Linked DNA regions of Oryzias latipes. The protein of the gene in region 1 purifies or fractionates together with the protein of each later gene. This does not show direct contact. Links are inferred from orthologs where the notes say so. Each region holds a gene or a part of one and is shown in the gene's direction. Other genes may lie near its edges.

Evidence for each region. Proteins that work in one complex are often made in the same cells at the same time.
Region 2: the proteins of mgrn1 (region 1) and ankrd46 purify together in Homo sapiens (co-immunoprecipitation; 3 studies listed by BioGRID and IntAct, counting the BioPlex papers as one, with this or other methods). This does not show direct contact. The link is inferred for Oryzias latipes from reciprocal best matches to the Homo sapiens genes MGRN1 and ANKRD46.
Region 3: the proteins of mgrn1 (region 1) and mc1r purify together in Homo sapiens (affinity purification with western blotting; 3 studies listed by BioGRID). This does not show direct contact. The link is inferred for Oryzias latipes from reciprocal best matches to the Homo sapiens genes MGRN1 and MC1R.

The regions. Positions count from the first base shown.
Region 1 is NC_019866.2:8,153,197-8,155,761, forward strand, and holds the end of mgrn1 (E3 ubiquitin-protein ligase MGRN1), read left to right. Parts: intron 1-277; coding exon of another isoform or gene 278-318; exon of another isoform or gene 319-321; intron 322-476; coding exon 477-589; 3' UTR 590-2,065; downstream 2,066-2,565. UniProt on the Homo sapiens protein: E3 ubiquitin-protein ligase. Mediates monoubiquitination at multiple sites of TSG101 in the presence of UBE2D1, but not of UBE2G1, nor UBE2H. Plays a role in the regulation of endosome-to-lysosome trafficking.
Region 2 is NC_019876.2:21,534,655-21,538,286, reverse strand, and holds the end of ankrd46 (ankyrin repeat domain-containing protein 46), read left to right. Parts: intron 1-1,672; 5' UTR 1,673-1,704; coding exon 1,705-2,015; intron 2,016-2,257; coding exon 2,258-2,416; intron 2,417-2,547; coding exon 2,548-2,764; 3' UTR 2,765-3,132; downstream 3,133-3,632.
Region 3 is NC_019861.2:22,128,556-22,132,712, forward strand, and holds the end of mc1r (melanocyte-stimulating hormone receptor), read left to right. Parts: 5' UTR 1-734; coding exon 735-1,706; 3' UTR 1,707-3,657; downstream 3,658-4,157. UniProt on the Homo sapiens protein: Receptor for MSH (alpha, beta and gamma) and ACTH. The activity of this receptor is mediated by G proteins which activate adenylate cyclase.

The DNA.
Region 1 (2,565 bases):
TTAGCACCAAACGTTCCCCTGTGAACAATTTCCAACTATGTTATGCTTGAAGGAAGGTTAAAAATGTCACCTTTTTTATTGTGTTTCCCTCTGAACAACCAACACTGTCCGCCTCGTTTGGCTCGGTTAGGTGGTAAAATCTCCATTCTCTTTAATCCGACTGTCAGCCTCTGATTGCTTGTGCTTTGCATCTAACCGGTTTGCCGTTTGCTGCTGTTTGTTTCTAACACTCCTCCGTTCAGCTCCTGTCTTCTCTGTATCGCCTCACTTTCTGCAGCTCTAGGTCCCGATTCCTGCTCTATTGGTGTGGAGGAATAACTGGTATGTAGGCTTTCCTGTCTGCTCTATTTCTTTGTGAGCTCCTCTGCTCCCTCTGTAGTGTTTCTTTAGACGGCTGTAGTGATGTCATAGCCTGAGTGTGTAGCTTTTTGTGACGTCAGTTAAAGGTGACCCCTAACCTGTGGGTGTCTCCTCAGGATCATCGGAGTCAACAGAAAGCCTGAAAAGTGAGAGCACCAACTGCTCCAGCCAGCCTCTTCTGTGTCCCACCATGAACCTCCATATGGAAGATGAACACCTGAACCCCTGACTGAAACCACCAACCCTCTCATTCCTGTCACTCAACATTTCCTGCCCTGATGTGGACAGAAAAGAGCGTTTTCCTTGATTTTGGAGGAAATTTGTTTCAGTGTTCACGTCGTAAGACTCCTGTGAAGATGCTTCGGACTGAGAAAGATGTGTTTTCTTAACATTTGAAAAGATTTCGCCAACTTTTTCTTTGTTTGTTTGCCTCAGTCAGTCAGACCAGCGCTCCTCTAATTCCACTACCTTTGACGGTGGTGCTTTAAAGCACACTTACTTTACATTTCCTGTACACATTTCTTGACACTAAAAGTAAAAAATAACTTATAAATACAGTTTGTGGTTAAATATTGTATCCAGTAGTGAATCATAAGTATAATTTAAGGCATTTTTGTTTAGCCCTTACAGGTTTATGACCTCCAAAAAAAACACCTTTTGAGTTCATTTTGAACAAAATTATTGAGAAATCATTCCTTTTAAAAAGTGTATTTGAAGAATTTCTGTGCTTTGCTGTTTTAAACATAGTCTGTTGAACCATTGTGTATCTATGTAAGATATTTACTAAAATCCTCTGCTTAAAAATGTATTCTTGCATAATATGTAGGAAAAAAACTGATAATGAAGTAACTATAACTTGCAGAATGTTTCACATTTTTATGACAAGAACTGCAGATTACCATCCTAACAGCTAAAATCAAAGATCGCTGAAGCCTGAAACCAGCTTATAGATAGATGCTCCACCTTCTCAAAAGCAGCACAGCCAGCGCGTTTGTCTTCGATGTGTCTGATCTCTGTCCAGTTTTTCTTTTGGTTTTTAAATGTTGCTGCAAAAACTGTTTGGTATGACATAGTGGCAAAGTTGGGGGTCGCATTCGTTTGGGCGGGGCAGCTTTATCTACTTTGGTCTTTTATGTGTAGCACCATGCATATAGATCTATGTGCCTTGAAATAATATGGCTGCCTGCCTGCTTGTGGAAACAGACATTAGTGTTCTTCATTCTTCAGTTTCAATACATAAATGGTTTCTGACGCTCATGTACAGAGCGTTTTCTTTTTTTGTGTGTAATCTTTATAATGCCCAGATAATAACAACGCATCTCATTAGTGTTAATGAATTAAACAAGTTAAACCATGAAGTTACTTTACTATGACGAGTTAAAAGTGATGCATTTAATATCTGTATCTAGTTCAGGTGCAATCTTGTAATATTTGTGTTACTGAAAGAAACCTTGCAGAGTTTGCATTGTAATGAGTTGGCTTGCATTTGCTTGTGAGTTGAGACCCCCCCCCCTTCTTTTCTGCTTTTTAATAATGCCCCCCCCTTTTTTTCTGTGCCATTTCAACTTGACACTGTGCCTTCCTGTTCTGACCACTGTCAACCTGGTATCCAGGATAACTCCTCAGTAGGTGGTGTCCTATCTCACCGTCTCTCTCTGTGTATAGACGCATGTGTAGAACAATAAAGAAACATTCAGTATCCCAACCAGACTTTTAATCTCTTTCCCTCAATAAGAGTTGTGATTATGCCTAAAGAATCTTTATTTAAAAAATTTTTAAGGCAAAAATCCAGATTAAAATGTGTGAAGTAAAAAAAAATACATTCTTAGTGAGATATTTCTACCAACTGGTGTGAAGATTCACAAGGTTTTAGTACTTCCTGAAGCTCTCTAGGAAAAGACAATACAACACCAAAAGATGGAGGCAAAAAGTCCAATTGTACACACTGTTTCATACAAATCCACAAATTATTTAACAAAAGGTGCAACTAACTGTACAAATACGATAAATGAAAAACAAAGTTTGTAGGACAAAACAGCTTTAAAAATTAAAACTTTGCATTAGACTGTATTGCTCTGTGGTCAAATAAAACTGTGTCATGAATTTATGCAGGTATTGTTTGAAATGCTATAAAAAAACGGTGATATGTTTAGGGCACACAACACGCCTCCCTCCCTGTAGTTGACATTCAGCTAATTATAATTG
Region 2 (3,632 bases), on another chromosome or scaffold:
CTTTTAAAAGTAACATAATTTGCATATATTTCAGATGCTGCATTTGCCATGTTGATTTCTAAAATAGTTATTTTTGACGTAGTACTTAAGTAATTCATCTTTGGCATGTGCTTTATTGATACCTTATGATTGTTAATTCTGTCTGATAAAACCTAGGAACCGGATATTGATAAATCATGTAATAAAATGGTTATAGTATAACGGGGTGGGATTATATAAGTTCGCTTCTTTCCACTCCCTTTCAAGCAATATTTATTAATTATGTCTAATTATCCTAAGTTTGATTAGTTACTGTATGAATGTATAACTGATGATTATATTGTTTTTGTGTATTATTTCTATTTGATTGCTTGAAATAAACCATTTCAAATCAGAAAACAAATCAGAAAAAAACAGTGGCCTTAAGAGTCCTAAAATGTATTAGTATTATTATTATTCCACGTGACACAGATACTCAGCTCTGAGTTTGGCATGACTGTTAAGATTGATCTTCATTCCTCTAAAAATCACTGATCTTCATTCTTTTTTTCTTGTTCCCAATAACAGAGACTTCTGTCTGTCATTTTTGAACTCAATAAAGTTCATGTAGGAGTTCTGCTGCTCTGAGCAGCAGGGAGTCTGATAGACTATGATGGTTTGGTGACAGTTACACAAAGCTGAGTGTCATCTGCATAACTGCATTAGAGAGCACGATCAGACCCACAGGGAGAACCAAGGCTCCATGAACGAACTTTTTGCCATGGTTGCATATAACTGCACGGTAAGTAGGCTGGGTGGTGTATTCATGTCTAGTTTCCCAAAGGTCTATAATAGAAAGACTGTGGAAGACAATGGCTGGCAGTAGTCCGATTGTGACAGACTCTAATCCAGTTTCCAGTATTTCATGCTGTGATTAATAGCCTAACTTTACTGCACTTAAAACCACCAGTGTAAAAAGCCCCGCCCACTGTTCATCAGAGGTAGGCAGCACCGAAACTGATGATTGACCACAAAACTTTCACTGACATCATGTTAACATCAGCTGTTGATGGGGAGCAGCTTTTGAAGCATTCTGCTCCCATGTCAGATGTTCTTGATTGATCAGCAGAGGAGCTCTGCGCTGTGGTTAAGGGAGAATCATAGTGATGCTGTAATATAATTCATCCTAATTTGCTGCAAGACAGCTTTTGAATAATCTATAGATCCTGTGGCCTTGATTTTTTACAAGGTCAAACAAAGAGATGGATCCAAACTTTGTACAAGACTAACCCAGATGTTCCCTTTCACTTAAGAAGTCAGAGTTGTCGTCCTTCCCAATGTCTTCTTCTGTGTTCCATTTGCACTGAGAGTGGACTGGAATATTTAGTAGAGTGGAAACTTCTGGAATGGGACGGGGGTCTCACAGAAGCTTCACAGATGTTTGCAGAAGCCTTAACCCTTGTGCTATCTTAGATGACCCCACCCTTACATTGACGTGTTATCCCTACCATGACAAAGGTGGATAAAGGTGGAAAGATTTCATGTAATCCATGGACACCAGTGAAGACCACAAATCATTGAAGAGAAAAGGTTCAGCGCACTGTCTAGTGGGGTCTAGATGACCCAACTCCCAATGTTAAAGTGCCTAGGATAGCACAAGGGTTAAATGAGTTGCTGAGGTTTCTCATCCCGTTTCCCGCTTGTTTTCCTGCAGGTACGCTGGAATTTTCTGACACCCACTCGGACATGTCCTATGTCTTCATCAATGACTCGTCGCAGACCAGCGTGCCCCAGCTGCAGGCCTGCATCGACGGGGACCTGCCTTTCGCCAAGAAACTCCTAGAAACGGGATGCGACCCCAACATCCGCGACAACCGTGGCCGCACAGGCCTGCACTTGGCTGCGGCGCGAGGAAACGTGGACATCTGTCGCCTCCTGCACAAGTTTGGCGCTGACCTTCTCGCTACAGACTACCAGGGGAACACAGCGCTGCATCTGTGCGGCCATGTGGACACCATCCAGTTCCTGGTGTCCAATGGACTGAAGATTGACATTTGGTTAGTGGCTCTCTGTCATCGCTGCTGTTTGTTCCACAGCATAGGAAGGATTCAAACAGAATCCTTTACAAGCATGTCCGTGTCTGTGGTCACTCTCTAAAACCAATGTTTCATTTGGTTACAGCAAAGGATTGTGGGATTGGATTATGGCCCATTTTTACAGAAAGGATGCTGCATGTTTTTATTTTTTTTTTCAGTTTGACTTACCCTCCCCTGTTTCTGTGTCTAATCCCTGGCTTCAGTAACCACAATGGCTCCACCCCCCTGGTGCTGGCAAAGAGGCGGGGCGTGAACAAAGACGCCATCCGCCTCCTGGAGGGTCTGGAGGAGCAGGAAGTGAAGGGCTTCAACAGAGGGGCTCACTCCAAGCTGGAGACCATGCAGATGGCTGACAGTGAGAGGTAATGGGGGTGCATGACATTCAGAAGTGTGTATGTGGGGGTGTCGCATCCATGTGCACAGAGTTCAGTGGTCATGTGACCTCATAGGACTCAATTTCTTTGGTCTGAAGTCTTTCTTCTTCTGCTGCCAGCGCCATGGAGAGTCATTCCTTACTGAACCCCCACCTGCAGAGCAGCGAGGGGGTGCTGTCCAGCTTCAGGACCACCTGGCAGGAGTTCGTGGAGGATCTGGGCTTCTGGAGGGTCCTGCTGCTTCTGGTGGTCATTGCCCTCCTCTCACTCGGCATCGCCTACTACGTGAGCGGCGTGCTGCCCTTCTCCAGCAGCCAGCTGGAGCTGGTCCACTGAGGAGGAGGTGCTTGCTACATCTGCAGCTGAGGTTCTTCTGGCACCAGATTGACATTTATTCCCCAGACCTTCGTCATCAGCATCATCTTCATGACATTCTGGAGAACACCCACCCACTTGATCTGTTACAGACTGATCTTCTGCCCCCACACCTTGTTCTCCTTATTTAACTGTAGTTTTTTTTTCTGGATGTTCCCAATAACCTTGCCCCCCTCCCCAAGCCTTTGTATCTGCATCTGTAATAAAGGCGTTATGCTGTAGGATTTTGTCTACCTGTCGCTAGACTTCCATGTCATCACAGACATTATTGATCCTGCTTCTTGTAAGAACTGAATAAATATGGATGTTGTAGTGGCGCTGGTCATTTCAGAAGAATTTACCGTTCATTGTATGAACAAAAATGATAGAATCTATGAGGAAGTTAAAATAGAGGTTTCAGCTGTGCTGCTGCTCAAATCCCAAAGGAACTTTGAGGCAGAGATGAGATGAAAACCACTTGAGGAGGCAAGGAGGCTACATGACAGACGAAGGTCACATGGCTGCTGAAGGCTGTACATTACAGGACGGCTGTGGTGCCGCAGTTGCGCAGTCGACCCCTGAACGGAAAATTGTAGGTTCAATTCCCGCCTTGTCCACCCATGTGTCTAAGTGTCTTGTGCAAGACACTGAAGCCTACCTTGCCTCTGGTGGAAGGTTGGCGCCAGTGTTCGGCAGCGGAGCCGCCACCGGCGTGTTAATGGGTCTGTGACTGTAAAGCGGTATACAAGTGTACACCATTTACATTGTTATACCTTTTCTTTTTTAAACTTGTCCTGTCCAACAGCTGAGCAAACAGATGTGAGCTGAAAGCCTCTTGTGTTGGACATAT
Region 3 (4,157 bases), on another chromosome or scaffold:
TTTAGATTCATTTTAATCTTTAAAAAAACGTTTTGGGTCTGATCAAATCTGTTGTTAAGTGGATTCCTGCTTATCTAAATGTCCCTTTATTTTTTGGATAGCGTTTAATGTGTATTTCCCAACCAAACCATATTGGAGATTGTGTGTTTGCTCTTTTCTGTTTGTTGACAGAATTGCTCAACAACCTGTAAAGTGAAATCTATCAACTTGGTGAATGAGAGAAAGCAAAGCATGTTGTTGAAGTCACGTTAGATCCCTGTGGAGAACAGCGTCCTCATCTGAGGTCGGAACCAGCTGACGTCAGCTTCAGAGGAGGGATTGACTGAAGTCCCTCAGCATCTGTGTTCACATCCTAACATGTCACAGAGTCTGCAGCTGCAGAGACAGCAGTCCCCTCCTCTCTGCCTGCTTCCAGGTGCTCACACAGCCGCAGTGATCTGACTGATGGGGAACCGCTCTGTTCCCACGGAGCTGCGCTGCTGAAACCAGAGCGCACAGACGCCATCTGGAAGCATGGAGCGACTTTCTTGCGTTTCTTCCACCAACTGACTGCATGGATGAAGTGAAGAGGATTTCTCCACGTGGCCACAGACTCTTTCTGGATCTTGGACGGTCTGTGCCTCTGAGAAGCTACTGATGCTGATCAACTTCTCCAAACTTTTCGAAACCTCGCAGCAGCTGAAGCTCCGGCGGTCAACCTGAAACTTATTTTACTGCCTTAAACGCTCGTGGAAATGGCCAACAGCTCGTTCCACTACCCCTCTATCCTCCATATGGAGTTTACTCCTGTTGTTGACATTGCAGAATACAACGAGACAAACTCAACGGCTGGGGAGCGCAATCTGCTGGGCTGCTTTCAGATCCGCATCCCACAGGAGCTGTTCCTGACTCTGGGACTCATCAGCCTGGTGGAAAACATCCTGGTCATTCTGGCAATAATCAGGAACCGCAACCTGCACTCACCAATGTACTACTTCATCTGCTGCCTCGCCGTGTCCGACATGCTGGTGAGCGTCAGCAACGTGGTGGAAACCATAGTCATGCTCCTGACTGACCACGGCCTGCTGGACGTGCACCCCGGCATGCTGCGGCACCTGGACAACGTCATCGACGTGATGATCTGCAGCTCCGTGGTGTCATCGCTGTCTTTCCTGTGCACCATCGCCGCGGATCGCTACATCACCATCTTTTACGCGCTGCGCTACCACAGCATCATGACCAGCCAGCGCGCCGTCATCATCATCGTCCTGGTGTGGCTGGCCAGCCTCATCTCCAGCATCCTCTTCATCGTGCACGACACCGACCACGCTGTCATCGTGTGCCTCATCACCTTCTTCTTCACCACGCTGGTGTTCAACGCCGTACTCTACCTGCACATGTTCATCCTGGCGCACGTCCACTCCCGGCGCATCACGGCTTTCCACAAGAGCAGGCGCCCGTCCACGAGCATGAAGGGAGCGATCACGCTCACCATCCTGCTCGGGGTTTTCATTATATGTTGGGGCCCTTTCTTCCTACACCTCATCCTCACCCTGGCCTGCCCCACTAGCCCCTTCTGCAACTGTTTCTTCCGAAACTTTAACCTTTTCCTCATTCTGATCATCTGTAACTCGCTCATCGACCCGCTCATTTACGCGTACCGCAGCCAGGAGCTGCGGAAAACCCTGCAGGAGATGCTCATGTGTTCCTTCTGCTTCAGCGTGTGACTGAAAGTAATGCTAGAACTTTTTGGGCCTAAACCGAACCGGGATTGGGTCACATCACTGTGCTTGAACTTGATACAACAGTTTTTCCTCATAAGAACTCCTTAAATGACATTCGGAGAAATGCGTCAGTTTCACTGTAACGTTTTGTGTATTTGTGTGTTATCTTTATCTGTATGCTGTTTTTTTAATAGTAAAAGACTTTTAAAAAGTTTCTGACCTGATTCTAATATTAGGCAAATTATATTTGCTTTAGCTCCAATTTCTTACATATTTTTCACTTTTTCTATAAAAATTGTAGATTACCTGCCTCAACTTTAAGAGCACACCTTCTAAAAACGAAACAAAAAGAAATGTACATCTGTTTATTTCTTTACGTTACGTCCGGCAGCAAAATAATTTAAAATTAACAAAATACATTTGATGTTTTAGTTCTAAGTAAGAGGTGGACGGGCGCACCATTAGTCATAAATAATAAGGGCGTATTTAAAAAGATTTTTAATTGTTGAAGAAAACTGTTGAAATTGTAAAAGAAAAATACAAATAAAGAACTAAATTTCTGTTTTTAAAACAAGAATCCAGAAATATTTTTGACCCATGTTTGTTACTTATCTAAACAGACGAAAAGAAAGAAGAAAAAAAGAAGAAGGGGGGGATAAATTTCCAGTTTTTACTGCATGCTTTTAGTAAGTTTTTTGCAAAATATTTTGCTCCACCTTAATTCAAAGCACCAAATGTGTGATATAAAAACTAAGACAGAAAAAGTGTGATCTTTGTTAGATCTTGAATCAGATTGTTTCTGTGGAGATTAAAAAAATAGATACAAAACCGATTTTAAAAAAGTGAGAAGATTCTCTTTGTTATCTCATATTTGTAAATATTGTCAATAAAATACAGTGCACTACACATGACATTTGCTGCTGAATTAGGAATCTGAACTTTTATTATCAGGTTAACCTATAAACATGTATTTTCTGTCTTACTATTTAAAACCTACAGTTTTCACTTTGTTTTATTTCCAGTAACCTCATGTTTATGTATTTTATCTTTATTGAATTCTTATTATACAAATTCTTCATTGTTTTCATAAGAATGACGATAAACAGCCTTTGATTTAGGCCTAATGAGATTATGGTTATTTGAACATGACATCTTTCCGGGGCTTATGGACAGAAAGAAATACATTTTAGTCTAAATGTACGTTTGGATTACTGGACTTTTCTGCAGCGTTTTTTTTTTTTTATCTGTTATGCCCAAATAAAAAAGGTCAGGGTCTTTTTTTTTTTGATGAGGCTTAAAAAGAGGATTGTTCCTTTCCCTTTGGAAAAAACAGCCAGAATAGTTTCAGCGCACTGCTTTTTAGACTGGTTATCTGATAGTGAAACACATGTGGAAAATTCATCATCACATTCCTGCTGAAAAGACTAAACAGGTTGATTTCAGCCGTTAAAGTTTGTTTGATCTTGTTACCTATCAATATTTATTTAGAACACATGAAAGACATCAAATCACAAATAGCTAAAATAAAATAAAATTAAAAAATGATGTTTCTTGATAGTGGATTGATAACAGCAGGAAGTTTTACCTTTACATCTTATTTCTAAGTTAAATTAGATCCATGTGAGGCTTTTTTTGGGTTATTTTTTTCTTGTATATTCTTCAGTGCATGTTATTACATTGATAATATAACTTCTTAATTTTTAAAGAAACTCTACGTACACATTTTTCTTAAACATACCTCAGAGTGTTGTAAATATTGAGATACTTTGATCTTTGGGTTTTAAATTTTTGTTTGATTACAATTGACTTGTTTTCAGGGTGTGTTTAGCCTTTTATGAAGTGAACCAACTTAATAAAGAACAAATATAGTTATATTTTTAAGTCTTCTATAAGTCAATCTTTGGTTGAGTTTGATAGTAGCCAATAGGTGTGTTCTTCAAGCTGAAGCTTTTACTCTTTCTGCAAAGGAGTTACAAAAACAAACAAAAAATGTTTGCAGTTCTCCTGATATGCCTGCTGCTATGAAAAAAAAAAGAATTTGTAATGTTTTCAGTCACAAAATTGCTATCTTAAAGAAGCATGCTATTTGTGTACATAGGATTTCAATGAAATGTGAAGGTCTGTAAATGATCCTTACAGCTGTGGTACGTTGTGTTTGTGTATTATACATTACTCAGTTGAAAACCGAAGACTTTTTATTTCACTAACAGCTTTGGCACCTTTCTTCCCCCCTATGAAACACACACACGCACACACACACCCGCACATATGTACACACAAAAGGCATCAACTTTTGTCAGCTTTGGTGATGTGTCAGCAATATATTGTAGGTCAATTGTGCAATGTAAGACCTTTTTTTATGCTATAGGCAACACTATTTGCAAGCGCCTGCATTGCTCATGACCTGAAACCCCTGCAGGAAAATCGCAGCAAAGCAGCATAATTATCAATGCA